Linked DNA regions of Caenorhabditis elegans. The protein of the gene in region 1 purifies or fractionates together with the protein of each later gene. This does not show direct contact. Each region holds a gene or a part of one and is shown on either strand. Other genes may lie near its edges.

Region 1 (6,995 bases):
ACTTCGTACCGGTAAACCACTTTCCGTCGAACTTGGACCAGGTATCATGGGATCGATTTTCGACGGAATTCAGCGTCCACTCAAGGATATTGCTGATATTACTCAATCCATCTACATTCCAAAGGGAGTCTCCACTAATGCTCTTTCTCGTGAAGCTCGCTGGGACTTCGTTGTGTCCAAGGATCTCCGTGTTGGAGGACACGTGACCGGAGGTGACATCATTGGAACCGTCGATGAGAACTTGCTCATCAAGCACAAGATTCTTCTACCACCAAGTGCATGCGGAACCATCACCTTCGTTGCTCCATCCGGGCAATACACAGTTGAGGACACCCTTCTCGAGCTCGAATTCGCCGGACGCAAGCAGAAATTCTCTATGCTCCAAATCTGGCCTGTCAGATCTCCAAGACCAGTCACAGAGAAGCTCGCTGCCAACAATCCACTTCTCTGCGGACAGCGTGTTCTCGACGCCTTGTTCCCATGTGTCCAAGGAGGAACCACCGCCATTCCAGGAGCTTTCGGATGTGGAAAGACTGTCATTTCCCAATCTCTCTCCAAATACTCCAACTCTGATGCTATTATTTACGTCGGATGCGGAGAGCGTGGAAACGAAATGTCTGAGGTAATTTTTTTGAAAATAATTTTAAAAACATTAGAAAAAATCAAATAAACAAGAAAGCCTTTCCATAATTTCGTTTTTGGAATCAATAGTTTTAATTTTTCAAAAAAAAATTGTGAAAAAGTTTAGTCAGAATAGTTTCGTTTAAGAATAAAATTTAGAAAACAATTAAAAATTAAAAGGTTTATGTTTCTTACTTTTTCCAATGTTTTGTCCCGCATTTAAATTATAAATTAACAATTTTGCCCCTATTTTTTACAATTCTAATTTTTTCTGTTTTTCAGGTACTCCGTGATTTCCCAGAGCTCACCATGGAGGTCGAAGGTGTCACCACTTCCATCATGAAGCGTACAGCTCTTGTCGCCAACACTTCCAACATGCCTGTCGCTGCTCGTGAAGCTTCCATCTACACTGGTATCACCCTTGCCGAATATTTCCGTGACATGGGTCTCAACGTTGCCATGATGGCTGACTCTACCTCTCGTTGGGCCGAAGCTCTTCGTGAGATTTCTGGTGAGTTTTAATCCGTTTAAAATATACTCATATTTGAAATTCATATTTTTTTCTTAATATTTTTGAAATTTCTCTGAACATTTTCAAATTTTCTTTTCAGGACGTCTCGGAGAAATGCCCGCCGATTCCGGATACCCAGCTTACCTTGCCGCTCGTCTCGCTTCCTTCTACGAACGTGCCGGACGTGTTAAGTGTCTCGGATCTCCAGAACGTGAAGGATCCGTCACCATTGTCGGAGCCGTATCACCACCAGGAGGAGATTTCGCCGATCCAGTCACATCCGCCACCCTCGGTATCGTACAGGTGTTCTGGGGACTTGACAAGAAGCTTGCTCAACGTAAACATTTCCCATCTATTAACTGGCTTATTTCCTACTCCGAGTACATGCGTGCTCTTGAGGAGTTCTACGAGAAGAACTACCCAGAGTTCGTCTCACTCCGTACCAAGTGCAAGGAGATCCTCCAGGAAGAAGAAGATCTTTCCGAAATTGTGCAACTCGTCGGAAAAGCTTCCCTCGCCGAATCAGACAAGGTCACACTTGAGGTTGCCAAGATCATCAAGGACGATTTCTTGCAACAGAACGGATACACCAAATACGATCGTTTCTGCCCATTCTACAAGACTGTCGGTATGCTCAAGAATATGATTGGATTCTATGACTTGGCCCGTCATGCTGTTGAAGCAACTGCTCAATCTGATAACAAGATCACATGGAACGTCATCAAGGATAGCATGGGAGATTTGATCTACCAGCTTTCTGCCATGAAATTCAAGGATCCAGTTGCCGATGGTGAAGCCAAGATTCGCAAGGATTACGAAGATTTGGCAGAGGCTATGGCTAACGCTTTCAGAAACCTCGAGGATTAAATTAATGTTTTTAGAAATTTTAAAATTGATTCTCTTGTTTGTTTCTGTTTTCGCCTCCCCGCTAGATTCTGTTCAGTTTTGCTGAGCGTGTACTTTTTAGTTAAAAGTATATGTTTTTCCTTGATCCCCTCACCCAATTCGCCTCCTTTCTCTACTTTTATCCTCTTTAAAGTGTTTGATTGATTTGACATTCCAAATTTCAGATATTTATTGCACCTTTTTTCTCTTTTGTAGATTTCTAAACTTCAAAAAATTCCAACCACACACAATGTATCTGGTCGCCTTACAACTCCCGTTTTAAACAACAATTTCACTTATATTAATCAATATTTTTGGTATTCTTCTTGTTGAATAGACTACTTTACTTGTGCCCTTCCATTTCTTTTTTTGCGACAACCAACCCGTATAGTCTTACGAACCACGTTTTACTGTGTTGTGATATGTATAATACTTTTGAGACACACCAATTCAACTATAGCAATAAACTTTAGGAAAATCACAAATATCTCGCACGCAGGTCTCGTTTTCAAAATGGAATTGGATTCGGTGAAGCAGCAACAACAGCAGAACGCTTGCTGTGAATATATTCTACCAATTAAGAAGCGACGGTGTAAGATGCTGGTGAAAAAGGGAAATCGGTTCTGTGGAGAGCATTCAATTCACGATCAGAATAACACTGATCGTATGGTTTGCCCGAATGATGGAAAACATACGATTCTGAAGGCAGATCTAGAGATTCATCTGACAAGGTGTAATTCTAGAATCAGAGATGCAGAATATATCAAAATTGATGCAAATTCTATTCGTGGCGAGACCAAACGCACCGATAAAATTGATCGAAGAGCCACTGAAGATGAGATTTGTACCACTGTGCACAAGATCTGGAAGTGCTATGAGACGGATGTAATGGATCGTTTGATTGTTGAGCAACAAAGAAATGAGCTCGTCGAGCAAAATATCGCACAAAATTCAGATCTGAACAACACGAAAAAGAAGCAATTATACCAGATTTCGTCTATTTTAGGTTTTATAAAATGCATTTCCATTTTAATAATTTTCTTTTCAGGTCACATCGAATCCACAGGGCTACTTCCAACTTGCTCCAAATCTTGCATGTTCGAGCTCGGAGCTGGAAAAGGTCAACTAGCTTATTGGATCTCCAAAGCAGCGCCAAATGGAAATTATATTCTCATGGATCGCTCTGGATCACGAAATAAATTTGATACTGCTGCATTTCGAGAGAATCCGAATTTATCAATGAAACGCTTCCGATGCTCAATTGAACATATGGACTTGAGCAAGATTGATGAGCTGAAGGTGAGTTTTACAGTTTTTATCCAAAAAAATCTTTATCTTTTTTTAGAACTCTGAAAAGATTTTGGCAATCTGTAAACATTTTTGTGGAAGCGCGACAGACGCTGGAATTCGATCGTTGATGAATAGTGGTCTACAATTCAACGCTGCACTTCTGATCCCTTGTTGCCATCACAAATCGCGATTCGCAGAATATGGAGGACATGATTTTTTGGAGAAATGGGAAATGAATGATGAAGCTTCGTTTGCTGCACTTCGATATATTGCATCGTTTGCAACAAATGGAGCAGTTGATACAGAAGCAACTGAAGGATGGAAGTCAATTCATCCGCCATTAGAGCTTGGACGAAGAGCGAAAGCCATCCTTGAAATCGGACGAGCAATTTGGCTGGAAAGTGTTGGATTCAAGACGAGAGTTGTAGAATACGTGCCGCCAGAAGTATCACCGGAAAATTTATTGATTTTAGCTTTGAAATAAGATCACGCATTTAATAAAATGATTTGTAATATTTTTTAATAAATAGATCGAAACAAATTGAACATTTAATCAAATAAATATACAAAATTTTATTAATTTCGAACAAAAATTAGAATCTATGCGATACCTACACATTCTAAACCACGCGCCTTTAAATAGTACGGTGGGATATTTGACAAAAATTGTTATTATTTGAATTACCTCGCAAATCTCTTGGCGTTTTTCGCGTGCACGAGAAACGCGCAAGCAAAGAATTTGATTGCGCTTTGTCAGATTAGTATTTATTTTATTTTCTTTTTCACTTTAAATTCAATCCTATGGCTTTGTTCTGCACGTTTTTGAATTAGTTTTGTTTCTTTTTTCAGGTAAAATGAAATTTCTACTCCGTGCCTCCTCACTTGCCGGTCAATCACTTCGATTCGCCTCTCAAAGACCGAAGGTGTTTTTCGACGTGAGTATTGGAGAAGAACCAGCAGGACGTGTCACCATGGAGTTGTTCAACGATGTTGTCCCAAAAACAGCAGAGAATTTCCGCGCATTGTGCACCGGTGAGAAGGGCGTCGGAGAGCAAGGAGTTGCACTTCACTTCAAGGGATCAAAATTCCACAGAATCATTCCAGAGTTCATGATTCAGGTAATTTTTAGTTTCGAACTATGAGTTTTAACTATTTTTCATTAACATTATTCAATTCTTCAGGGAGGAGATTTCACTCGCCACAACGGAACTGGTGGTGAATCAATCTACGGAAATAAATTCAAGGACGAGAATTTCGATCTTAAGCACACCGGACCAGGATGCCTTTCAATGGCCAACGCTGGACCAAACACCAACGGATCTCAGTTTTTCATTTGCACAGTCGACACTCCATGGCTTGATGGAGGTCACGTCGTTTTCGGACAAGTCACCGACGGCATGTCTGTTGTGAAGAAGATCGAAAAGATGGGATCCCGATCCGGAGCCCCAGCCAAGACTGTCACAATCGCCGATTGCGGAGAGTTGAAGAGCGAGTAACTTCATTGTTTTTTTTGTTTCAAAAATATTTTTCATTAGCGTTAGCAAATTGTTATTATTTTTTAATTAATTGTTTTTAATTAGTAAAGTTTTAGTTTTTTTTCGAAAAATAACTGGAAAAAATTAAGTCTTACAGATTTATTTTCTACCAGAAAAGTGAAAAGCAAAAGCAATGGTCTATAAAAATTCACCAGAAGACTCAATATCATCTGCCGATGTACAATATTCACACGTCTTCGCACAAATTTTACGAAAAAGTGGAGAATAGGCTCTATGTGTGCACAACTTCTGATTCCTCTCACAATCTGATGCTCGATCCACGCATTCTGCAGTATCAGTCATTTCCGATGAGATATTTTCAATTCTTTTCGAGAACCTTCGCGGTTTCTTTTCCATGAACGTCGTGGGAGTTGTTGCATTTCTCAGAAGATCAATCACATTGTCAACTATTTTCAACTCTTCCAATTTTTGAACAGTTTTTTCACCCATTTCTAAATATTTCAGAATATGTTTAAACAGGTCGGAAGAAGCTTACTGGATTTCAAATGCGAAATATGAATTTCCCGGCTATCCTCTGTTTCCTCTTCTTCGTACTCGTCATCGTCAACACAAAATTTGCAGGTTTTTGCACATCTGAAATTGCATTTAAAAAGTTAATAATACACTAATTGGCCTCGACGCGACAAATTTTTGTTAATTTTAATGGTGCGTCCATAGTCTGCGGAAAACGGGAATTTCCCGCGTGCGGAAGCGTCCATAGTCTGCGGAAAAACCGGAGTTCCTCGCTTTTTTTTTTCCTCAAAGTTCAAAAAAGTAGGAGTGGCCAACCAATCAGCTGTTGTTTCTTGTTTTCCCATTGCTCAGCTTAAAATTTTACAGCCCCTAATTGGTTGAACACGCCCACTATTTTGAAATTGACCAATAACAAAGCGAGAAACTCCTTGTTTTTTTCCGCAGACTATGGACGCTTCCGCAAGCGGGAATTTCCCGTTTTCCGCAGACTATGGACGCACCATAAAAGGCGTGCGCTTTTCAAGAGTACTATAATTCGGGTTTTCTGGGGAATTTTGATCGATTTTTACAGTTTTTTAGTTAAAAAGAAAACTCTATTAAAAAAATTTTTTTTAAACAAAAACTGAAAAATCAATGAAAACAGAATACATGTTTAAATTACAGTACTCCTTAAAACCGCACGTGTTTTTACATTGAAATTTTTACAAGAAAATACATGTCGTGCCAAGACCGGGTACCGTATTGGCGCAAAATTCCTAAAATTTGCTGCTGGAGAAAAATGAGACAAAAACTCACTGTAAACTCATCATGCGTTTGTAGAACTTTCTCTGACAAAAATTGGCTCTATCTGCACAATCATCAGCTTCATCAATACATTTGAATGGTTTGATAATCTCATCTGTGGGTACTGTACTTGTAGTTGTTCCACCAGTTTTAGAATTAATACAATATCCACATGTAAGAGGACAAGCAATTTCCATAAGCTTCTGTTCTATTCGATTGGGTGATAAACATTTAACAGCAATCAATCTACAATCATGATGTGCATCTGCACATTTTTCAGACAAAACTGTATGGATAAATACTAGAGAAATGGATAAAAATAGCTGAAGCATTATTGAAAAGTATTCGAATAGACTATAGAAAGAGCACGACCCTTTTCGGGTGAAGAGATTCCATTTTTGTTTGTCCAGAGTTCAGATTCGAATAGAAAGAAATGTACAAAAGAGTGAGCGTGCATCGAAAAGAACAACAGTAGCACTTGTTTGTACAATTGGTTTACATCTAAACGCGGGTTCAACAGAAACTTTTTGTTTTGGACTAAAGGTTTCTTCAAAATATGAAGTTTTTCGGATCCCTTTCAGGATCCTTTTTTCCAAATTTAATAGACGGGGGGGGGGGGGGGTGGGAAACAACTACATCCAAGTTTTCAGCATTGTCAGCCACGGGTCGTTGTGGCTCAAGAGAGGCTCTCTTTTTGAAGGGAAAAATGTCCGAGAAACCCCATCCGCCTAGAGAACCTGGCACAAAGGAAAAATGAACAGCTAAACATTCAACGTGCAGCCGACGAAAATTGGGCTCGTGTCAGCGACTGTATATATATATATGAGACGTGTGTGGTCAAGTGGGTAAGGGTAAGGCACAAGGTGCGGGTTCAATCCCCGCAGCGGCCACTATCG
Region 2 (7,088 bases), on another chromosome or scaffold:
AATACAAAAATAATGTAGTTAAATACAATGCGTTATCTTCGTGATATTCAGTATAGTCATCTGAAATAAAGTTTTAGCAGGTGCGGTAGTCAAGAAACCACACGAAATGCACTGGATTCAATACATATTTGGACAAAATTTTTCAGATTCACACAGGTGTTCTGCAAAGTAAAACCTGTGTGACACACTTCAGAGAATTGTCAAAATTGTCAAAGAATTGTCAAAATACAGATACAATGGATTGAGAGTGAAGGCAACCTGCAAATTATGGTATACGAATTAAAGCTTTACATGGAACTCACCTCGTGCTTGGTTCGAAAATCTCGCCTTGGAAAATTAAACCACTTCGTGAGTTCAAATCAGGAAATTGTCAGTGACAAACGCCAAACGGTTCACTTTTGACGATGAGGGATGCAAAAATCAATATTGCAATAATTTATTAAATAAAACTGAGAAATCATATTTCAAGTATAATTATCATCATTAAATATAAACATTCGAATTCTGAGATGACTGTCAGTAATGCAATACTTTAAAGTTGCTATTGATCCATTGGCTCTTTTGATATCCACTCCACCTTTTATAATCCTGTTTTTGAAACTTGGGATAAACTGGTCATATCCTTGTACAGATAGTGGAAAGTCTCTTACAAAACTATCTGGTTGCTTCTGAAAGTCCACCTTGTCCAAGATCACTGAAAGATCGTCCTCTACGCTCATTCCTTTCGGGACATCAATTTGAAAGTACTCGAGCCTGGGGTTTGATCCCTTTATCCAATGTCTGACGAACAAATTCAACTGATTCGAGTCGATAGCAACTTGCCCAAAAACTAAAAAAATGTTTGTGGAGAGAATATCATTAAGATTATATTTGTACAAGTACATCGCTCGTAAGGCATCAAAGTTTTGAATCAAGAACTCTTGAGTTGTGTGAGTTTTAGGTTCAAATACTGGAGTACAGAGATCAAGCGAGTCGCATTTACTTGCAATGTGCCTCATAATCTTTTGATGAAACAATGAGTCTGACATTTTTCTGGGATTCATAAAGCATCGAATATCGAAATCTCGGAACTCGTCGCAAATCGATTCAGTGCAATAGTTGTCTTTGTTTATTGCGAATTCATCAAGTTTTACTCGATTTAAAACATCCAGTAAGTGATCAACATACTTTCGTAATCCCATGCTCGGAATGCTCATCCAAATCACTCTACCAGTTGTTGAACTTTGGATTTTCAAATGCTCTCCGTTTCCGAACTTTTTCATTTTTTCTGGACCGTCAATAACTCCGTTGTGGATAAGTTGATCCATAAAAAACTGGGGATCTTCGACCGGAAGACTACGATGCATGTTGGAGAAAAATGTGAACTTGACTCGATCGTGGCGTTGGGTGACTTCGAATTTCCAGATTTGAACTTCCACAAAATCATTAATGTCTATTTCAACCACAGAGACGTTTCGATGCAGAGATTTTGCAAACTGTTTTGTCTTTTTCGAGACAAAAGAGAAATTCAATCTGAAATTGTTTAAATTTAATTATGATAAAGATAATAACTTACATTTCCAGAAGATCGCAGTGTTGAAGTGTGCATCGGAGAGCCTTTGAAGGTAGTTGTAAAATATTCATTACAGCAGAATGAGCAGTACAGACAAAATGACGGAGAAGGTTGAGTGGACGAAAGCGAGTGGAAGAAAAAAAGAGCAACTGACGTAAGACTATCCACTACTGTGCAAGATGACTCTGACGTACAAGGGAAAATGGACTATTCTGAATCGATATTAGGCAGCTGGCTTGTGGAGTATGGGAAGACACAGTTGACCACTGGAAATGCTAACCCGCGTTACCGTGAGTTACAATAATTCGTTGTCTACGTGACAATCCCTTTGCACGTAAGATATGACTAAAATTTCTCATTTTTAGACATATTCGTAATACATACAGTTGCAATGCAAAATGAAGACAAAGAAAATTTTGAAGGTAAAGCATTGTAAAGGAATTTTTAAAAAATGTATTTATTGTAGCAAGTGCCAAAAAATGTATACTAGCTTGTACGGACGTTTTTTTTTTTTAATTGATAAAAATATATAAAAGCTGATTTTTTCAAAAATTCAAAAGTATGGGAAAATCATATGGAGTCATTCTTTTTTATTTCATAAAACTGTTTAGCATAGTCAAAAATACCAGAATATGCTAATCAAAGTATATTAGCTTGTACGGAAGTTTTTTTTTTTAATTGATAAAAATATATAAAAGCTGATTTTTTCAAAAATTCAAAAGTATGGGAAAATCATATGGAGTCATTCTTTTTTATTTCATAAAACTGTTTAGCATAGTCAAAAATACCAGAATATGCTAATCAAAGTATATTAGCTTGTACGGAAGTTTTTTTTTTTTAATGATAAAAATATATAAAAGCTGGTTTTTTTCAAAAATTCAAAAGTCCTGGAAAGTCATATGGAGTCATTCTTTTTTATTTCAGAAAACTGTTTAGCATAGTCAAAAATACCAAAAAATGCCAATCAAGTATAATAGCTTGTACGAAAGTTTTTTTTAAAATTACATTTTTAGCACATTTTTAGCACATTTTTAGCACATTTCAAGCACATTTCTAGCACATTTTTAGCACATTTCAAGCACATTTTTAGCACATTTTTAGCACATTTTTAGCACATTTTTAGCACATTTTCAGCACATTTTTAGCACATTAATGGCACTTTTTTTTGTATGATAGAACATGTAGAATATAGGTGCTAAGTGATCTTTATCTCTGCATAAATAATTGAAACAAAATTAATGTGTAAAAATAGTAGAAAATTTTTTTGGTCCACTTTCAAAATTATGAGTGGCAATAACGGAGTCACTTTTCAACAGTAAATGAACAATTTTCCAAAATTATTGATATTTGGTCCTTTTGGCACCATAGGCGTAGTTTTTTGCCAATTTCCCACTGGTGCTACTCAACGTTTAGATGAAATCACATAAAGAAAACGACAACTGTAGTTTAAATAATGGTTGTTGCAGAATTTGGCAGCGAGATCATACTCTAGTGTTAAGTTTCTTACCTCAACATGTTCATTTTTTAATCTGTAGAAAATTAAAAACTAATAATTGGGATAATACATTCCACCAAGATTCCAAATTGAAAACATCAGAAGATTGCTTGAAAATAAATTTATTTTTTTCGGAAATGAAATTGAATTGCAAATTTAAGAAAATTTCAATAGAATAAGTTTAAACTTTTATGGGAGTCTCTTGTAGAATCTGCGGCCTTCGATATTGTTGAAGCTCATCTTCTGTAATTAACAAAAATGTATGTCAAATAGATTGACCAAATTTTACCTGAATAAGAAAATCTCCATCAAAGTAATACTCATAGGTTTCTTCCTTGGATTCTCCCTCTTCAAGTGGCTTGTGATGTTCGAACAAGTGTCCGTCCTTGAGAGTGAAGGTAACCTGAAAATTATAATTGAAATAAAAATAAAATAAAAAGTACATGGCATGGAACTCACCTCGTGCTTGGTGTTATCAAGACCCTCTCCTTCGAACTTGCTTCCGATCTGGACGTTTTTGTAGAACACATCTTTTTTCGATGTCAAGTTGGAGTAGTCGAAGAGGTTTTTGTTAGCATTCTTGGCAAAAACCTTCTTGAATGTCGCAAAGGTTACAAGCTTTCGAGTGAACCATCCGTATCCTTTGGCAGTGAGGTACTCATCAAAATTTTCAGAGTGATCCAAGTCGAAGGTTCCATAGAACTTTTCTGGAAGCTGTTCGGCAGCCACAAGGGTAGCTCCACAAAATGCGAGTAAGATGAGGAATTTCGAAGACATTTTTGTTCAAGTCAATGACTGAATGACTGAAGTGTCCACAGAAATGAAGATTGATCAAGACTCCGCCCAGTTGCTCAATCGACAACACAATAAAACTGAGGTCAGCCACGTGTGTAATATAGGGTCACGGCACGGATGGCAACAACAAATTGATGATCGGACTTACTTGATTTTCAAAAATCCTCACAACACCTGGAAGCTAATAATAAACAAAATTTAAGAGACCGAACGAAAACAATTCATCGATTACTTGTTGAAATGCAGAATGAATTTTGTCGAAATAAATTTAAACGCGTTAAGAAAATTGAAAAGAAAACTGCTACGTTTTTTGACTGCACATCAAACAATTTAAGACTTAAAAAAATATTTTTAATGAGGTCCTCAAGATCCAATGATTTTAGTTATTAAACTATGTATTTTGAGAAATGGTTCTTATTTAATGGTACCTTATTCAGAAATTAAATGTGAAAATCAGGAAAAAAAAAATAAAAAAGAGCATACGAAAGAGTAGAAAAAACTCCATTTTATAGAAAACTTTCGAACACAACATCGAAAAAAAAAAACCGAAAAGTGATTGGATTTTGACCCACCCGAAATTTTAAACTGGTTGTGTCCTTTTTGTGTTTTGAATTACGTTTTTGCAAATATCACGGCGCAATCGAACTTTCATGTTTTGATTCCAGCATAGGTTCAATTCATCTGATAATTTGATTCTTAATTTCAAGTCTTCAATGTGCAAAATTTTCTTTTTAACACTTGTGTCACTTTTACACGTTAACAAAAATTCAAATTTTAATCAACTTTGCTTTCTAGAACTCCTAATATGTACATTTTTAAACCAGTGAAAACATTTCCCAAACAAAAAACTTCAGAGGGCTATGCAGCATGAATCACAAAAGAACCGCGTTATTTTTCTTATTTTTTGCCCCATATCACATTACAGAATCGATCTAACTTTTCAGTTTATTTGAAACTTGAAATACATCAGTGGCAAAAAAAGTACATTGAGAAATCAATTCATACAAAAATTACAATAGTTTCTGAATATTTATGGGAGTCGTTTGTAGAATCGGCGTCCCTCAACTCCATTGAAACTCATGCGCTGAAAATTACAATCATGAGAATGTGAAATTGGTTTTTAAAAAATGTTTATAACTTACCACAAGAAGGAATTCCTTATCGAAAAGGTACTCGTAGGTCTCTTCCTTGGCGTCTCCTCCCTCGAGTGGCTTGTGATGCTCAAACAAATGTCCGTCCTTGAGGGTGAAAGTGATCTGAAAATTAATTAATTAATCAATTTGAAAGGTTACTTGAAAACTTGCAAAAGCGTACCTCGTGTTTGGTGCTGTCAAGTCCTTCTCCCTGGAAGGCTTTTCCAAGTTGGACATTCTTGTAATGGACGTCTTTCTTTGATGTCAAGTTGGAGTAGTCAAAGAGGTTCTTGTTGGAAGTCTTAGTGAACACCTTTTTGAATGTGGCAAAAGTGACAAGTTTACGAGTGAACCATCCGTATCCTTTAGCAGTGAGATACTCATCAAAATTTTCGGAATGGTCCAAGTCAAAAGTTCCATAGAACTTATCAGGGAGAACAGCAGCTGAAGCAGCTCCAACAAGAACCAGGAGAAGAGCGATTTTAGCGCACATGGTTGGCTAGGTCGATGAATGAACGACTGACGTCTTGGCAGGACTGTGGGCTGTGTGTCGACGTCGTCTGCGTGGACCCCGCCTACTTGCACAGTCGTAAACAACATTGTACGGCAAGAAGTGCAGCCCACATGTCGATTGCGCTGACGATTAGCAGAGATGGACGGCTGGACTCGGATGGGTATCGAAAGAGAGTGTAGCATAAATGATTCGGGGCAGATTTTTTTTGTTCCGTGTGTTGGGGTCAGTTCGGATATTTTTGAAGAGAGTAGTTGCATGAATCGGGTCCTGGAAGACCGAACAATCAACTCAAAATAATTTCGTTGAAGGTTTAAGGCGAATCGAATTGCAATTTCCTTATTTGGTTGATATAATTTTATGTTATCATTATCTTTCATAGTCTATAGTATGATTCTCCATTTCTTCAGCAAACATTGAATACGGCAACAGGTCTTCAGGTCTGCAGTTCAAAACACAATCCATGCAGGGCTGGGACTTTGGAAAACCAAAAAAAACTACCGGAAAAAATTATGAAAATTTTTATTCATATAGAATTCGACCCACAGAAAAAGAAAACGACTTCAGAAAAAAAGTTTTTTTGCCGCAGAATTTCGGTACATTCGGTTTTGGGTTTTTTTGGTTTCAAAATGAAAACGAAAAAATATTGTAAGGATCCCATAAAACACAATTTTTCAAAAATATTTTTAAACTTTCAACACTAGCTAAAATTTTTAAGACACAAAATTGTTTTTTTTTCTGGTTTTCAAATGTTTGAGCCCTATTCCCAGATGACAGAATTCATATTAGAGATCATTGTTTTCCAGATGGCCTTTCCCGTAAATTGGCCAATACGATTCTCACGTTTTATTGGGCTACAATAGACCCATCTACTTTGTACCTTGGCTAATCTGTTCTATGTCCACTTTCGATGTTTGACCTCCATCTGTTCATTCGTTTTTTTTTGTGAGATCATGCAATTTTTGAAAATGGCAGAGCAAGTCTAAAGGGACAATTGTTTATTTAAAAGGACAGAAAAAATAAACATCTGTGATTAATAATGTGAAGAGCTCAGTTTTATGTTGTGTTTATAATTTCTACTTCTTTCCGGTCGATCGCTTGAACCAACGACGGCACGTGATTCCATTGTTGACCATTTTCTAAAAATGAGAAAATTAGTGGAAGAAGTTGTAAAATGGAAAAAAGGAAAAGAGAACGAAGTACACACCATGACAAGTTGATCGTTCTCGATAGTGTAGTAGTACGTCTCCGCGCTGTGTTCTGGGTCGTTGAGTCGGATATGGTGCTCAGACAAAACTCCGTCTTTGAAGGAGAAGGTAATCTTAAATATAACAATATTTTTAAGACACTTGAATATTTTTTGAAACCTTGTGTGCAACTCCATCAAGGCCTTCTGCCTCGAAAGTTTTCCCGAGCTCCCACCCGTGGTAGAGTGTATTCTTCTTTGAAGTCAAGTTTTCCATGTTGTATTTTCCAGGAGTTTCATTTTTGGCCAGCACCTTGCTCACTTTTGCCAATTTGATCATTTGTCTCACAAACCAGCTCACTCCTGTAATTAAAATTACTATTAAATGTACACTATCAATTATTTTTACCTTTAGC
Region 3 (7,507 bases), on another chromosome or scaffold:
CTAACCTCGAAAAATTCCCCAAAAATTTTCAGTACGAACCGCAATCGAATATTGATCGTCTGGCACAAAGACCCGTTCTACCACAATGTCCACGTGAGTTGCGATACAAATGCGCTCCACTGCACACTGTTTTGCAGTGGAGCGCATCGGCTTGATTTTCAATGGCCTAGAAATCTCGGAGAAACTTAAGCCATGTCTTCTATTTTCAGGGGAATGGGAATGGGCGTGTCGAAACGGAGAATGCATAGCACATTATGACGTTTGTGACGGGATTACGCAGTGCACCGACGGGTCCGACGAGTGGAATTGCGAAGCGAGGTTAGGTTGCAAACACGCTCCAATGAGAAATTGCTCCACGTGGTGCCATTATGGTTTGATCTACAAAAAATGCGGGATTTTTTTGGCCAAAAATATGTGACGTCAGCACGTTCTGAACCATGGGAAATCAGTTGAGAACTCTGCCGCATTTTTTGTAGATCAGCGTAGATCAAGCCGCAATGAGACACTCTGACACCACGTGCGGCTTGTAAAAATCAATAAATAGTCATTGCTGTGCGGTACATTTTTTCACGCTTGTTACGAAATAAAATTTATATTTTATATAGCATTTTGACGACATTTTCCTTATCAGTAAAATTATCAAATTTTCCACCCAATTCCTTGGCTCGTTTTTCCTCCAGTTTCCACTTCCTGTTGAAAAAAAAATCCAAAAAAAATCGATAAAATGGCGGATTCGCTTCTCTCGAATATTCTTCAACAGGAGATCACCGATTTTCCGGAGTTATTCGATATGGGGTTTGTGTACACAAATATGTAGAGTCTATTGCGCTCTATAAAAAATCAATAAAATCGATATTCCAGGGGCGGAGCGCCGATGGCTCGTGAGGGAGTTGCTCAACCACGACAGACAAATGTGCAGGCCACCGTAGCGGCGGTGAAGGAGACAACGACGATAACCGCTGAATCTTCAGGTATTATTGATTTTTCTTATTTCGAAGACTATATTACGCGAACGCGTATTGCACAACATATTTGACGCGCAAAATATCTCGTAGCGAAAACTACAGTAATTCTTTGAATGACTACTGTAGGTCGATTTACGGGATCTCGATTGTCGAAATGAATATATTTTCGAATAGCCACAGCGACATTCAATTTAAATTTTTAATTAATTTCAACAAATCAAGCGGCCGTAAATCAACAGAAGCGCTACAGTAGTCATAGTTTTCGCTACGAGATATTTTGCGCGTCAAATATGTTGTGCAATACGCATTCTCAGAATTTTGTGTTCCCTGTAATACTACGCCATACGAGCAAGATTCTGTTGAACTAGGACACACTGCATCTCACGCGCAAACTAATCCCAAACCTCAAAAAAACACTATATTTCACGCGCAATTGTTGCAAACTTTCAAATTGAAAGCCACCATATTACACCATATCTTACGCGCAAATTTAATTAAACTATGTAAAACCACGTGGCGCACCAGAGTGTCTCATTTCGGCTTGATCTACGTAGATCTACAAAAAATGCGGGAGAAGAGACGCAGAGTTCTTAACCGATTTCGCACAAAAATTCCCGCATTTTTTGTAGATCAAACCGTAATAGGACAGCCTGGCACCACGTGTGAAACAACATATCTTTTTTGAAAATTTTGCAGTAAATCTCATGGTATGCGCCAAAAATTAGCCAAACTTCGCAACACACCGAATTTTACGCGCATATTCATCAAAAACCTTTTTTTTTTAATTTTCAGGCACCGTCACAATCCAATACTCGCACATTTTCTTCGCCTTTGTCGCGTTTTTCGTTCTCTCGGTTGCCGTAGTCGCTGTGATTCGTCGGCGATCACGACAAAAATCCGGATTTCGAAATCGACGTGGCGGCGGGCACGGGGGCCCGAGCATACTGCAACAGGATTCCGACGAAGACGATATTCTAATCAGTTCTATGTATTCTTGAATTTCGTTTTTTTTTTGGCACGTGGGGTGCCAGGCTGTCCCATTACGGTTTGATCTACAAAAAATGCGGGAATTTTTTGCCCAGAAAAATGTGAGAACTCTGCGTCTCTTCTCCCGCATTTTTTGTAGATCAGCGTAGATCAAGCCGCAATGAGACACTCTGCTAACACCACGTGTTTTGGCTGTACTACTTTTCTCTCTTTTCTCACTTTTATCTCGGGTTGTGTCATTGAATTATGAAGAAAAAAATAAATCAAATACATAAAAATTAATGGCGATTCAAATTCTATAGAGCTCCGGTTTCCTTGAGCAGTGCGGCGAGTTTTCCGTTCTTGGCTCCGGCCGCTGTGTCGTCACCGCCGCCGAAGAACTTGCCGTTGATGAAGACACGTGGCACCGAGCGGGCTCCGGTTAGAGAGCCAAGATAATCCTGAATCTCATTGCAATCCTTGCGCTCGTCGATTTCGATCCATTGCAGAGCGTCGGGCTTCACGTTGACCGATTCAAGAGCAGCACGAGCCTGAAAAATTGGGGTTTTTTAATTTTTCTCAAAAAATTATTTTAAAAAATGTATCCGAGACTCAAAAATTTTGCAAAAAAAAGATTTTGAAAATGGATAATATTTTTCTCAATTTTCACGGATTTCTGGCTTCCCTCATAAATTGAAATGGAAGAGTTTTTGCCGAACTAGGCCATTTGGCTCGGCCATATCTGGGGTAGATTTACGGCGCGTTGCGTGTCGCGTCGCGGCTCGATTTCAGTTGTAAAACTAAATGTATTTGTCCGTGTGGAGTACACGACACTTTCCCACGCGTTGTCCGGCAGCCGATTGTCAATGGAGCGCGAAAAATTCAATGAGGAATGCCAGAACCCCGTGACAGATTTTTTCGCAAATTATTGATTTTTGCCGTTGTCTTCAATTTTCCGAAAATTTCTCAAAAAAAATCGCTACGAGACCCAAAATTTCTGCATTTTCAGAAAAATACAGAAATGTTTGATTTTTAAGTTAAATTGAATTTGCAAAATTTCATACTGGTGCAACTGCGCTCTGTTGCACACGATTTTTTAAAATAATTTTTTTTGGAATAAATTTTTCAAAAAAATTGGGAAATTTCGCTGAAAATCCAGAAAAAAGCAAATTTTTTAGGACAAAATTGTTCAGAAAAATTTTTTTTTTTTTTTGATGACAAAAAGCAATTTTCGAGGAAAATTCAAATTTTTCAGAAAAATTGTGTTACCTTATGGCAGTACGGGCAGTACGATTTGCTGAATACGACAACTTTGGAAGATTGGAGAAGTCCGTCGACAAAGGCTTTTGACATGGTTTTTCTGAAATTTTTTGGTGTTTTTTCTCAAATTTTTGTTGAAAAAAAAAGGCAATGAAGTATAAGAAAAGCGTAGAGACAATTTGAATTTGAAAAAAATTGGGGAAAAAAAAATTAGAAATCACATTATCATCAAATAAATAATATATATATATATATATTAAATTTACAAAAACAAAATTCTGCGATATTATATAAAAAGGGAAAACATAGGCTTTAAAAGCAGCAAAAACTGAAGAAAATGATGATAAAAATGAGAGTGGAAATAGTGTATGGAAATGAGAGAGTGGCGAGAGAAAAAGAGAAACGGCGGCGACAATGACGTAAGAATCATGACAAATAGTGTTATTAGGCGAGGAAAATTCGGGAAAAAATACAGTTGTGAAATACAGAAATTTATAAAAAAAATTTTAAAGAAATTTCGAAATTACCGCCGTGCGGTGGAGCACAAATGCATTTTTGATATTCGATTAAAAAAAAATTTTTTTTTAATTTTTGGGCTTTCTAAAGCTAAATGATTTTTTTTAACTTTAAGGAGTTTTTAAAAAATTTAAAAAAAGGCCTTGCAAATGCGCTTCATCGCAAATTTGATGGTAGAGATGAAAAATTGGAGAATTTGAAATTTTCACGTGGTGTCAGAATGCCTCATTTCGATTTGATCTACTTTGATCTACAAAAAATGCGCGGGGACTGATTTCGCATGGTTAAGAAAGCGCTGACGTCACAACATTTTTGGGCGAAAAACTCCCGCATTTTTTGTAGATCAAACCGTCGATGGGACAGCCCCTGGCACCACGTGAATTTTGGGAAAAAAAATTTTTAAAAGGTTTTTTTAAACGCTTTTTATTTTAGACAAATCACTTTTTTTTAATTTGAAAATTAGTTTTTTTGCACCAAAAAAATTTCAAAAATCGGAAAATTTTGAATTTTTGGGATCACTTTTACTTAAAAAAAAACTCGTTAATTCGGAAAATTTTACGATTTTTCTGAAAAAACTCTGCAAATGCGCTCCATCGCGAATTTGCTGGTAGAGATGAAAAATTGGAGAATTTGAATTTTTGGCGGTACTTTTTGCCGAGTTTTTGAGAGAATTCATCAACTTTTCACGAAAAATTGATATTTTTAACGCTTTTTCTGATGAAAATTGCAAAAAAAACCTTTAAAAATTGGGCTAATAACACTTTTTTCAATTAGAAAATTAAAATTTTTGGGATAATTTTTTCCTTTAAAAATCCCATTAATTTGGAAAATGTTACGCTTTTTATGAAAAAAAAATTCAAAAAAAAAATTCTGCAAATGCGCTCCACTGCAAATTTGTCAACCATGTGAAATTTTAATTTTTAGGATAATTTTAGGATAAATTTAGGCTAATTTTAAAGTCGAAAATCCAAAAAAAAAAAAAAAATCAATAAATTATTCCTTCTTCTTCATCTCATCATCTCCACTATTTCTTCCAGTGATCCCTTTCAAAGTACTCATAATTTTTTTGAAAATGCCACGTGGCTTCTCCTCCTCTTTCGCCTCGAATGGCACAATGCCGACGGAAAACGCTTCGAGCGATGGTACAGTATCCTCAATCCACGTACCCGTGACGTCACGGCGGGAGAAGATCGGGGTGCCGATGAATTCCGAAATTGATTCTCCCTGTGGAAAAATATTGTTATTTTTTGGAAATATATCAATTTTTGAAATATATCGACTTTTGAATCAGGTGGGTGGGCGGAAAACGATTTTTTCCGGCAAATCGGAAAATTGCCGGAATTGTAAATTTCCCGCAAATCGGCAAACTGGGAATTTGCCGGTATTCAACAAAATTCCGGCAATCGATTTTCTTATCCGTTTTTTTTTTTTGGAAAAATATGTTTTCTGAAAAGAAAAAATCGATAATCTGGAATTACATATATTGAAAAATATTGATTTCACCGGAAAAAAAATTTGGAAAAATTTTGGAAAGAAAAAATCGATTTTTGGACAAAAAACCTTGAAAAAAAAATTGGAAATCGATATTCTGGAGATATATATTTTTGGGAGAGAAATCGATGAAAATTTCAATTTTTTGGAAGAATATTGATTTTTAGAAAAAAAAAATTTTTTTACTGAAAAAAATGATTTTTTTTTTGAAAAATGCCGTTTTTTGAGAATATAGAATTCTTGGATTTTTTTTTTGATTTTTAGAAAAAATACCTTTTTTTCTGGAATAAAATTTAGATTTTATTTTGGAAAAATATAGCATTCTAGAGAAAAATATCAATTTTTTATTGAGAAAATTCAATTTTTTCTGGAAAAAAGTATAGACTTATAGAGAAAAATGTGTATTTTATTTTATTTTCAGGACATTTTTTTTTTTTGGAAAAAAATCGATAATCTATAAAGAATATCGATTTTCTGGAAAATATTTATTTTTGGTTAAAGGATAAAGATTTTTAGAAACGTTTTTTTTTTCAAAAAATAAAAATGAACTTGGAAAAAAGTTCATTTTTATTTTATTTTTAATATTTACTTTTCGAAAAAAACTTAAATAGTTTGGAAAATATTTATTTTTGGTTTAAAAAAAAAGTTTTTTTGAAAAATATCGAATTTTTTCAAAAAAAAATTGGTAAAAGTTGAAAGGATTTTGGAATTTTGGAAAAAAAACAGGTTTTTAAAAAAAATATCGATTTTTTTAAAATTTATATTTTTGGAAACCTTTTTTTTTACAAAAATCGATTGGAAAAAAATTTTTAGACAAAATAATTTAATATTTGCAAAATGAAAAGAATATCGATTTATTTTGAAAAAAGTATTGAATTTAGAAAAATATGGATTTTTTTTTTTGGAAAAATCGATTTTCTGGAAATTTTTTTACTGAAAAAAAAACTGGAAATATATAGATTTTTCGGAAAGTTATCGAATTTTTTTGGAAAAATAGATTTTCTTGAGAAAAAATTTTTTTTTGGAAAAATCAATATTCTGGAAAAAATGGTAAATGGCAAAATGATTGATTTTTGGTAAAAAATCGGTTTTTTTTTCTTTCAAAATTACCATTCTCCCAACGGGCTCCGGGGTCCCAGGCTTCTCCTCGACTGCCGCCGCCGCCGCTGCCACCTCCGATATGGTTTGATCTACAGTAACCTCCTTCTCCACCTTCTCTGCACTATCTCGTTGTTGTTGCTCCTCCTCCTCTTTCTGCTGTTCTCGGATCTTCCGAAGTTCGGATCGCTGGTGACGTTCCTCACGAATTCGGATTTTCTCGGTGCCCTCGTGATCTCTGGCAACTTCCTGGAATGACATTTTTTTTTAAGTGACATTTTTTTGAATTTCAGAAAAAAAAGTGTTTTTTTCAAATTTTTTCCAAAGCAAATGATTTTAGAGAAAAATCTATGAAAATTGGAGTGAAAATTAGACAGAAAATTGCAAAAACCAAAAAAATCAGAAATCTTTTGGATTTTGAACCTTTTTTTTGTGATTTTTAGCTTTAAAAAAAGTAGAAAAATCGGCAAAAATTTGTTTTAAAAAAATATTTTTTCAAGTTTTTATTTGAAAAACGTAAACTGAAAATTATAGCCAAATTATTGATATATTTTATTAAAGGTGGACTAGCGCCAGTGGGGAAATTGCTTTAAAACATGCCTATGGTACCACAATGACCGAATATCATGATAAAAAAATTCAAAAAAATTTTCTAAATTTTATATGATTTTTTGAAAATTGAAAAAATCCCAGTTTTTGCCTAATTCCTATTTGAATTTCCGCCAATTGGATTTGTTCGATGGAGCGCGCTTGCACGTTTTTAAATTTATCTATTTTATTTTTTGTTATTTTCTACCGATTTTTAAGGTTTTCGGTGTATTTTTGCTTGAATTTTAGAGAAAAAGTCAAAATAAATGCAAATTTTCGATTAAAAAGCACGCTTACAGGCGTAAAAATGAAAAAGTACCGATTTTAAACGATTTCGAATCTGAATTAATTAATTTCACTGATTTACGCCTGTAATCGTGTTTTTCAATCGAAAATTTGCATTTATTTTCACTTTTTCTTTAAAATTAGAGCAAAAATACACCGAAAACATTAAAAATCGGTGGAAAATAACAAAAAATAAAATAAAAAAATTTAAAAACGTGCAAGCGCGCTCCATCGAACAAATCCAATTGGCGGAAATTCAAATAGGAATTAGGCAAAAACTGAGATTTTTTCAATTTTTAAAAAATCATATAAAATTTAGAAAATTTTTTTGAATTTTT
Region 4 (8,897 bases), on another chromosome or scaffold:
CCTACAGTATGTTTTTTGAAATCACTAAAAATTTGTTAATTTCAGTTGAAAACATTGTATCTGACACTCAATATTTTATATCAGATGAAAACATCATATTTGACGCAAAATTTTTATTTCATTTAAAAACATCATATCTGACGCGCAATTTGTTTTGTTTAAGTGGAAAACATCATATTTGGCGAGCAATGTTTCATATCAGTTAAAACATCACGGTATTTGTAAAGTTTTAACACGTAAAGCTGAAATAAAGTACTAGCATGTTTTGGACACTTTTTTAAAATATTGCAACAATAAACTAATTGTTTTAAAGCAAGTGTTTTCAAATTGTTTCCTTTTGCTGCATTGGCTCTATTTTCACACATTCCGAAATGTCGACGATGACAAAGTGCATATTCAAATTTTAGAGAAGCAGTTAAAAAGTATATTTTGCAAATCGTATTTGTTCCGTGAAATTTATCATTATTCGGTGTATATTCAATATGTGTTGAAATGCTCGATTATTCATTATTTAACATCTCATATAGTGTCAACAACGAAGAGAATTAGTTGCAATTGTGATCAGGATTGAGCATATTATACAAATTTACAATTTTGTTCACGATTGTTGCGACTTCGTGCCGATTTTTTTTGTTGCATCCTTGAGAAGATTCCATGTGTTGATCTAAGCAGGTGACAATTGCGTCTTGATTTTGACGGAGAACGTCCAACTCTTTTAGAGTATTTCTATTTGTTAATCCATAATTGTTTGAGCAAGAAACGTATTGGTGATATAGCTCGTCCTGAACAATCATTTTACATACACCAAAAAAACCATTTTAAAAGTACCTCTTTCCAACAGTCACTCGGACTCATTTCTGTGGAAAAGCTATGAACGATTTCAGTGATTTTAGAGGTAATTTCATGAATTTTTATTTGTGCACTACACACATTTTCATTGTTTTTTTGTACATAATGACATCCATCTCACTACATTATTAAGTGAAAGCAGCTCTTCATGAAGAGTTGGTTGTCTTGTTGAGTTGTTTTGATAGTTTTGGATAATCGCCAAACTTTTCTGAAATATTTTACTGTCACCAACTTATTTTCTGGGAAACTTACTGAAAATGAGCTGCCGCAATTTTGGAATTGAGTTTGCTCCTTTACGTCTTTACATTCGTAATTTAGTTGGTCTTTTATAGCAGCCATGTTCACAATGTCGGTTGCTATGTCAACCACTCTGGCATTAGCTTGAGCTAAAAAAACCGCAACAAGTATAATTAGCATGGTGAAGATTTTAATGAATTGTTGCAAGACAGGTTCTTATATAGTTATGTGTTTCAAGCAGTATTTATGAGACAGTTTGAGTCACAATACAAAACAGACAATGTAACAAATAAATCGTTTTGAATATGTCGGGTGATGTTTGATGATCTTTTTTATTAAATGGAAAATGTCATTTTGTATTTTATGACAACCATACAGTAATTGTTAGATGTGAATGTTTACATTAAAAAATGATCATTCGATACAATGAGTCAAACTTCGTCAGTCATTATCCAATAAGCTTTAGAACAGAATAATGATATGTTTTTACTAACATTTCTACTGATAATTTTTAAATAGAAAAATTTTTTAGTCCCTTTTGTTTGTTTGACGTTATTTGGACCGACCGGTTGCACATGCAACAGCGAATGCTTTAACTAGCCTACTATGTTTAACTTCTTCCAACCGCCCTATGTAGAATCTGCTTCTAACTACATAGTAGGCAAGTTAGTTCGTTTCAACATTCAGAAAATGATCAGTTTTGGAAAGTTTAAGATACTTTCTTCGAAATCTTTGTATATTTGAGAATATAAAACGTTCTGAAAGTTTGGGAAAGTTTTTGAAACACTCTAGAACTTTGTAGAACATTACTATGTGTAGATCAGAAATACTATCAAATATGTTCTTAAACCCATTCCCAACTATCCCAATAGTCTTACAATGTTTTCAGAAATTTCTCAAATGAATCTGAATATGAACCGCATAACGGCACTTTTTAAATTTAATGATTTATTTTTATTCCACTTTCAAATATTAACACTAATCTTGGAGAAGCGCTGGAGTGAACCCGACTCTTTGCATGATTGGATCGAAATATGTGCAACGTCCACGATACAATGGAAGACCGAGAATGATTCTGAAAAATTTTTGCATGATTCAATCCATCTTCTCAATCATTCCTTACCTATCAGTGGTTGGAATAATTTGGAGTCTACATGTTCCGAAGAAGCTAATAACAAGATCTCTTTCCGTAATTGAGACTGTTGTACCTGAAAATAGAGCAATTATGTAAAACAAGTGGAAGGTACACTGAAATCGACATACCAGAAACAAATCCAAAAGTGAGGGTGATCTTAGTGTTACATGGAACAATTGTTGGGTAGATAGCATTCATAACGTTTGTGCTGATGCCAAGGGAGTCAAACACCTGGCTAATGTAAGTTTTTGGAAGTCCAATTTGGGCGGTGGTGGTGTCAAGGTAAGTCTGAAATTTATATTTGTTGATACATAAGAGATGCAATAAACTCACTTGAATGTACTTGTTGTTGGAGTTGGTGGCGGATGATCCTACAACTTTGAAGGAAGACATCGTGAGTTGGTATGCATATGCAGAAGCCAATGGGACGTATGTTGGGTTTGGAGCACAGTGCACTGGATCAAATCCTCCGTAGTAAATAACTCCGTGGGTTCCGAGATCATCAGTTTGGTTGAAGTGCTCGAGCCAGATGGAGTAGAATGTGCCCGAAATGTCTCCAGCGTTAACACCTTGAACGAATGGTGAGTTTCCACCGATTTGCGATGAGGCTGTGAATCCCAATCCCAAAATTCCATCAGCACCCAATCCATCCATCAAAAGTCCGAGGTCGGTAGCTTGCATAAACTTCACGCCTGGAATGGTGATCAAATCAGTTTTGCGGTCTCCGATCTGGAAAAAAATTGTTAGGACTTAAAAAACAAATTGAAAGTATTACCACAACAGTGTCTTTTGCATCAAATCCTTGGAAAGTTCCAAGATTATTCTTGTACGTGTACTTATTTCCATATGCATAGTAAGACGACGACTTTGCTTGGTTGAATCTTCTCTTGTTGTAGCAATTATTTGCGGTCTCTGAAACATTTTCCAGTTTGTATCTTTTTCACTCTTATCAGTAGTGTGGAGTTTTCAAAATTAGGAATGTTATGTGCACTAAGTGATAGTCTTTGACCGATAATCAACATAAAAAACGATTTTAGTGCCGATATAATAGGGCAAATTGTCAGCAAAAGCTGACAAAAACTGTCATCATTTCGTGATTATGTTCGAGATGTTTTATACATTTAAAAGTCGTAAAACTATCAAATTGCAATCAAGAAAGCGATTGGTTGAAACTCACTGCAACTCATATCTGGAATAACAATGTCAGCGGTCGAAGTGTCAATGACAACAGTGAAAAGTTGTCCTGGTGTTCCCATGGTCAAGTTAGCAACGAAGAAGGTTGAGGTTTGCTCCAGAGTTTGTCCTCCTGGAATTAAACTTCAGTTTTGAAAATCTAAGGAACTTGTGTATTATATACCAAAAGTAATTTTCAGTACAAAACAATTCACTAGTGGAATGTAATAGATTTAGAAAACCATTATTCCTAACAAGGGAAGGCTCTGAACTCGTTATCGGACTTCGTTACGCCACTATATACATTCGATAGAGAATAGTTACAGATGATCACTCCAAAAATTTAGCTGCTTCAGAGCAGGTTTGATCAAGTTACGACATTTTGAAAGTGCCAAAATACCCCTTTTTAAAAATTCCAAAAAAATCAAAAAAAAAAAGTTTTTTTCTAAAAGTTGATATAAAATGTTTTCAAATAGTTGGAAATGATGGAAAAATCATACCACACAAGTTTCAGTTCATAATTCTCAAAACAACCAATATATAATTGGAAATCAACCGCAACATTGTGTTTGTAAGTTATAAGCTTTATTCTAAGTTAAATACATTCTACTCAATGTCGTAAAGGAAATAATGTTTGTTCATTCACTGTACATTTTATGTGGCTTCGGGATATATATATACGTGCTCTTAAAACAACTTACCGCTCTCCACTATTATTACTCCCAGTTACGTGTCTATCCCTATTTTGAATAAAATATAACGTTAATGTACCATTAAATGTTCATGTTCAATCAAACGTGATCGAAATTTTTATACGCTTCGGAAAATAATTCAAAAAAAAAATCAAAAATAATGCTTAAATGTTCATTTTAAATTTTGTAAAGGCTTCCATTTACAAACACCAAATTTCACTTTATCTGAAACAAATCTGTAAATTCTCATACTCACCTTTGGTAATGTTGGTAACTGCAGCATGAACTTTGAAAGGAATCACAAAAGCTGAGGTCGAGGCCACAAAGGCCAAAAGCAAGATTGTCTTGATCATGATTGAACTGAGAATGATTTCCAAGCAACCAGCTCTCCTATTTATTCGCTCATGCTTTGAACTGATAACATAGAAACCAAAAAATCGTGACAAACCCCTATCATTTTCGACACTGCACACTTCCACTTTCATCACTTTTCGTGGGCTTCAGAACTTTATTCGACGAGATACTACTAACAAACGAGAGAATGAAACAAAAAGCAAAACGATTTAATTACGATGATTTTAGATATCGGCTGGCAGGACTTTTCCGCGGCACTCTCCGAAACCAATTCTGACTCCATTCTTTTCACAAACTCCAGAAAGGTTGACCTCATCTCCGTCCTTTAAGAACTTTCGGATTTCTGAGCCAACTGGAACTTCTTTGGCTCCGCGCCACGAAAGCTCGAGCATGGATCCATATGCACCTTCTTCTGGTCCAGATACAGTTCCTGATCCCAAAAGATCTCCAGCGCGGAGGTTGCATCCATTGACGGTGTGGTGAGCAAGTTGTTGTTTTAGAGTCCAATACAAATGCTAGAAATTACAGTATTGTAGTTGAGAAAACCTTAACGAGCGTTTATGATCCAATTTACAGTGAACAGTGTAGATAATATCGTTTCTACTAAACTTGAACATACCTTGAAGTTAGTTTTACAGACAATATGGTCCACAGCATCTCCTTCTGGACGGATACTGACGGCCAAATTGATGTCAAGGGTAAATGGGTCATCGTGATGGAGATATGCTGGTGGAACTGGATCTTGTACTGGATTCTCAACAAAGTATGGACGAAGAGCTTCAATTGAGACGACCCATGGAGAAACAGTTGTGGCAAAGGATTTAGCAAGGAATGGGCCGAGTGGAACGTATTCCCAAGCTTGGATATCGCGAGCTGGAAAAGTTTTTTTTCGGATGAGTATGGAGCAAACTTGAAAATAACTACTGTTGAATTTTCTTGTCACCAAAATGTCGAGTTTAAATGTTTTTGTTTGATATTTAATTAACATCGTTACTCACCACTCCAGTCGTTCATGAGCACAACTCCAAAGATACGATCCTCAGCCTTCTCGATTGGAACACGAGTTCCCAATTCATTTTCTGGACCTCCCACAAAGAACGCCATCTCGAGCTCAAAGTCCATAAGCTTTGATGGACCAAACGATGGAACCTCAGCTGAAAGCGGACACATTTGCATTATTGGTGCAAATCTAAATCTTACCATCTGGGGCCTTAGTTTGTCCAACTGGTCTTTTCAAGTCTGTTCCAGATACAACGATTGATGAAGCTCTTCCGTGGTATCCGACCGGAAGCCACTTCCAGTTTGGCATCAGAGCATTTTCCTTTCCACGGAACATGATTCCGACGTTGGTGGCGTGATGGATGGAGGAGTAGAAATCGGTGTAATCTCCGATTTGAGCTGGAAGGTGCATTGTAGCATCGGATTGAGCGACAAGAGCCCGGCTTCTGTAAATAAAAACATAAGAATATTATTACAAAGTTTCTTGGTTGTTTTAAACAGAGTTATATGTAAGTTGTGCGCAAAACGTACAAAGCTTCTAATTACAGTATGAGATTTCAATTTATAAATCAAAAATTAATATAAAAATGTAGGTTTTTCTCGATTTTGAAATAGATTTTTTTAAAAATAATGCCTACAAGTCGCCAACAAAGTTTAACGATATATTTAAAGTCAAATGAAGTATTTCAAAAACTTTGACGGGTTTCCAGGCGTTCTCAATAAAATAATTTTTTTCAGATTGACCGAACATTTTCACATACTTCTATATACATTTCAACTTGCCAACTTGCTGCACAGTATTGATTCAACTTTGCAATTATAAACTAACGATAAAAATTAAAACTTGTGAAATAGTTGTTTAGATTTGGTTAGTAGATTATCAGACACACTTTGTACTACTTTTTAACTTTTTCAAATTTGTTTTGCCAACTTATTCACCTCAAATGAGCGTTATCCCTAAGAACAGCACAATCCTCTGAGAGCAGTTGTTGGATTCTTGCACGAGCTTCCAACCAGGCTGGACGTGGCAGTGCCATGAACGCGTTCAATGTGCTCTGCTTGAAAACATCCTGATGTGCCTTCAATTGAGGTCCGTCAAAAAGATTGGCAATTTCTGCCAAGTTGAGGATTTGATCTCCAATTGCAACTCCAATGTGGCGGGAAGACTGAAAATATTTAGTTTAATTTTGCTTTAGAAATAATTATTTATACACTTACGTCAGCCTTTGTTGAGAAAACACCATACGGTAAGTTTTGAATTGGGAAATCCGAGTTTTGAGGAACAGAAACGAAGGATTTCATGATTTAGCCTGCAAAGCAATACAAGTTTTGAAAAATGGAGTTGAGTAGACAGCAGTCTGTTATGTCTCCGAAACTGTACACGCATGCGGCGTTGAAACAGAAAATAGCATACAGGTTGGAGAGGGTGCTAGTGACAAATACAAAAAGGAGTCGTACACGCATAGGCCAAGGTCGATACACGACTAAACGACCACCAATAAAAACAAAACGATAACCAAAAAAAATGACTGCACACAGACAGTGACAATGACAGATGTGCACCACTGAAACCGCTATATAAGGTCTCACAAATCTAATTGAAAAGATAAGATGATGATAGTGACGTCAATTGGATAAAACAATAGAGTATATCAGATAAGTTTTGACAAGAGAGAGAAAACTACATTGGATGCAAATTGAATTGCGAAACAGTCACGTGATGATTTTTTCTTGAATGTTTGGATGGCATTATTCTATAGTTGTTTGTTTGCATTGGCAATGATACTGTTTCATGAATAAAAAGCAAGTAGGAGTATGACGATTTTAAAGAGTGGAGAACTAGTGTTTTTTAGAGTTGCTTATGTTTATAATATAGAAATCTCAATTCCATGAAGATAAATTGCTACTAAAACGCTTTTTATATCAGAAGAAAAACGGTCTCTAGCAATTTGTATCTTAGAAAACTCTTACCACCATTTCGAGTAGAGAAAACGTTTCACAATCGGATGTAGGTTTTTAACCTGTAGATTTCAGATCACCACAGCCTGCTGAGCAGGTCAAAAGTTGTAACTTAAAGGTGAGTTGTATTGTTAAATATTATCGGTAATTGATAAACAGGTACGGCGAGTGAAATGGTCAAAAAAATATAAAAATAATTTATTTCTATAATAAAGGGTTGTAATACACAAGAAACATTTTTTAAGGTTAAACATTTTGAAAATACAAACACCAACAGCGATGAACTATTGAATTAACACTTTCTCTACTGTCGTTGAGTATAAGTGTTAGTTTCAAACTTTTTATATCTTGTTGGATTTTGCTTTTACGAAATCAAATTGAATTAAAAACTTTCAAAAAATTAATTTATTGAAGCCAGTAGTGGACAGAAAAAGCAGGAAATACAGACAAAAAAAAAACACCAAATAAGTTTATTGCAATGGTTTGAATGCATAACAGGTGACATCTTCCTTAAATGCTTGGCAGAATGTATCGGTATGAGCTATGTAACTGAATTCTCCTGTACCACAAATAACGTTCACCTCATGGCCTAGTGTTTCTTCGGCAATTTTCTGAATGTTCCTCTTTGATTCACTTGCATCTTCGCTAATATTCTGAAAAGAGAGTAGGCTTGACGTGCAAAACGAGTGTACTCACATCAAGGATAATGTTTTTCAGTTCGGAACTGTTACACGAAGGGTCGATTGTTTTGGCTGCAAATGCGGCGCGTCTCACACTTTTGTACTTGCATGGCGATGAGCAGCCACAGCAACAATCGTTCTGAAATGATATTTTCTTAAAGGTTCTTTCAAAAATCTACCAACCTGAGCTGGAATTCTGACTGATGGTACAACTGCACCACCTCCACATCCTCCAGCTGTTGGCATTGGCTGAGGCATCATTGGCTGATAGTACTGGGGAACATATGATGGGTAGAACGATGGTCGTTGCATCATACACGGGCAAGATGGTCTCGGCATTGGTGGAGGTGGTGGAGGGCATGGCATTGGCGGTGGTGGAGGCGGAGGACAAATTGGTGGTGGTGGACAGAATCTGTGAACAAGCATGTGAATATTCTAGGTTTATTGCTGAAACTTACTGAGCCGGGCATGGTGGAGGTGGAGGACAGACTGGCATTGGCATCGGCATTGGCATCGGTGCAGCACATGGCATTCTTGGTTGGCACATTGGAGTCGGGCATCCTCCACACCCTCCTCTACCAAATGGGTACTGAGCAAAGGCAAAATGAAATGAAATCTGAAAATCCGAATGAGTAAAAGAGATATTCGATGATTCATTGCTTACCAAGAAAACTGCAACCGACAAAGTACTCATATTGCGCAAATATGGAATGGAAGTGGAAGAAGCTATGGTTTCCGACCACACACGCGGATATTTATACTACTTCGCACGTGCAACTGGTTTTTTGGGGGAAATTCTGAGTTTCAAGAAGATGCTGT

Evidence for each region.
Region 2: the proteins of cyn-1 (region 1) and lbp-2 fractionate together in Caenorhabditis elegans (co-fractionation; one large-scale study listed by BioGRID). This does not show direct contact.
Region 3: the proteins of cyn-1 (region 1) and glrx-10 fractionate together in Caenorhabditis elegans (co-fractionation; one large-scale study listed by BioGRID). This does not show direct contact.
Region 4: the proteins of cyn-1 (region 1) and asp-14 fractionate together in Caenorhabditis elegans (co-fractionation; one large-scale study listed by BioGRID). This does not show direct contact.

Annotation. Positions count from the first base shown.
Region 1 is NC_003283.11:14,351,920-14,358,914, forward strand, and holds cyn-1 (Peptidyl-prolyl cis-trans isomerase 1), read left to right. Parts: upstream 1-4,156; 5' UTR 4,157-4,161; coding exon 4,162-4,425; intron 4,426-4,488; coding exon 4,489-4,803; 3' UTR 4,804-4,902; downstream 4,903-6,995. Other genes in the region: vha-13 (V-type proton ATPase catalytic subunit A), read left to right, coding at 1-622, 904-1,132, 1,233-1,999; Y49A3A.3 (tRNA:m(4)X modification enzyme TRM13), read left to right, coding at 2,531-3,023, 3,066-3,316, 3,363-3,791; Y49A3A.4 (ShKT domain-containing protein), read right to left, coding at 4,981-5,294, 5,339-5,436, 6,112-6,431. UniProt on the Caenorhabditis elegans protein: PPIases accelerate the folding of proteins. It catalyzes the cis-trans isomerization of proline imidic peptide bonds in oligopeptides.
Region 2 is NC_003284.9:3,257,538-3,264,625, reverse strand, and holds lbp-2 (Fatty acid-binding protein homolog 2), read right to left. Parts: upstream 4,017-7,088; 5' UTR 3,825-4,016; coding exon 3,507-3,824; intron 3,451-3,506; coding exon 3,337-3,450; intron 3,291-3,336; coding exon 3,237-3,290; 3' UTR 3,156-3,236; downstream 1-3,155. Other genes in the region: fbxb-71 (F-box domain-containing protein), read right to left, coding at 465-1,512, 1,556-1,623; lbp-1 (Fatty acid-binding protein homolog 1), read right to left, coding at 4,873-4,926, 4,985-5,098, 5,157-5,468; lbp-3 (Fatty acid-binding protein homolog 3), read right to left, coding at 6,563-6,625, 6,694-6,807, 6,854-7,035, 7,082-7,088. UniProt on the Caenorhabditis elegans protein: May play a role in sequestering potentially toxic fatty acids and their peroxidation products, or it may be involved in the maintenance of the impermeable lipid layer of the eggshell.
Region 3 is NC_003279.8:1,045,380-1,052,886, reverse strand, and holds glrx-10 (Glutaredoxin-1), read right to left. Parts: upstream 3,292-7,507; 5' UTR 3,285-3,291; coding exon 3,201-3,284; intron 2,483-3,200; coding exon 2,249-2,482; 3' UTR 2,160-2,248; downstream 1-2,159. Other genes in the region: Y34D9A.8 (Low-density lipoprotein receptor domain class A), read left to right, coding at 33-93, 210-318, 862-971, 1,758-1,963; Y34D9A.7 (PSP proline-rich domain-containing protein), read right to left, coding at 4,701-4,931, 6,309-6,545.
Region 4 is NC_003284.9:6,442,168-6,451,064, forward strand, and holds asp-14 (Peptidase A1 domain-containing protein), read right to left. Parts: upstream 4,498-8,897; 5' UTR 4,440-4,497; coding exon 4,343-4,439; intron 3,528-4,342; coding exon 3,399-3,527; intron 3,134-3,398; coding exon 2,997-3,133; intron 2,951-2,996; coding exon 2,555-2,950; intron 2,510-2,554; coding exon 2,350-2,509; intron 2,295-2,349; coding exon 2,210-2,294; intron 2,162-2,209; coding exon 2,065-2,161; 3' UTR 2,018-2,064; downstream 1-2,017. Other genes in the region: K10C2.7 (uncharacterized protein), read right to left, coding at 935-1,057, 1,102-1,266; fah-1 (Fumarylacetoacetase), read right to left, coding at 4,665-4,955, 5,060-5,313, 5,439-5,594, 5,641-5,885, 6,379-6,605, 6,658-6,741; grl-6 (Ground-like domain-containing protein), read right to left, coding at 7,869-8,051, 8,095-8,217, 8,262-8,490, 8,537-8,694, 8,743-8,772.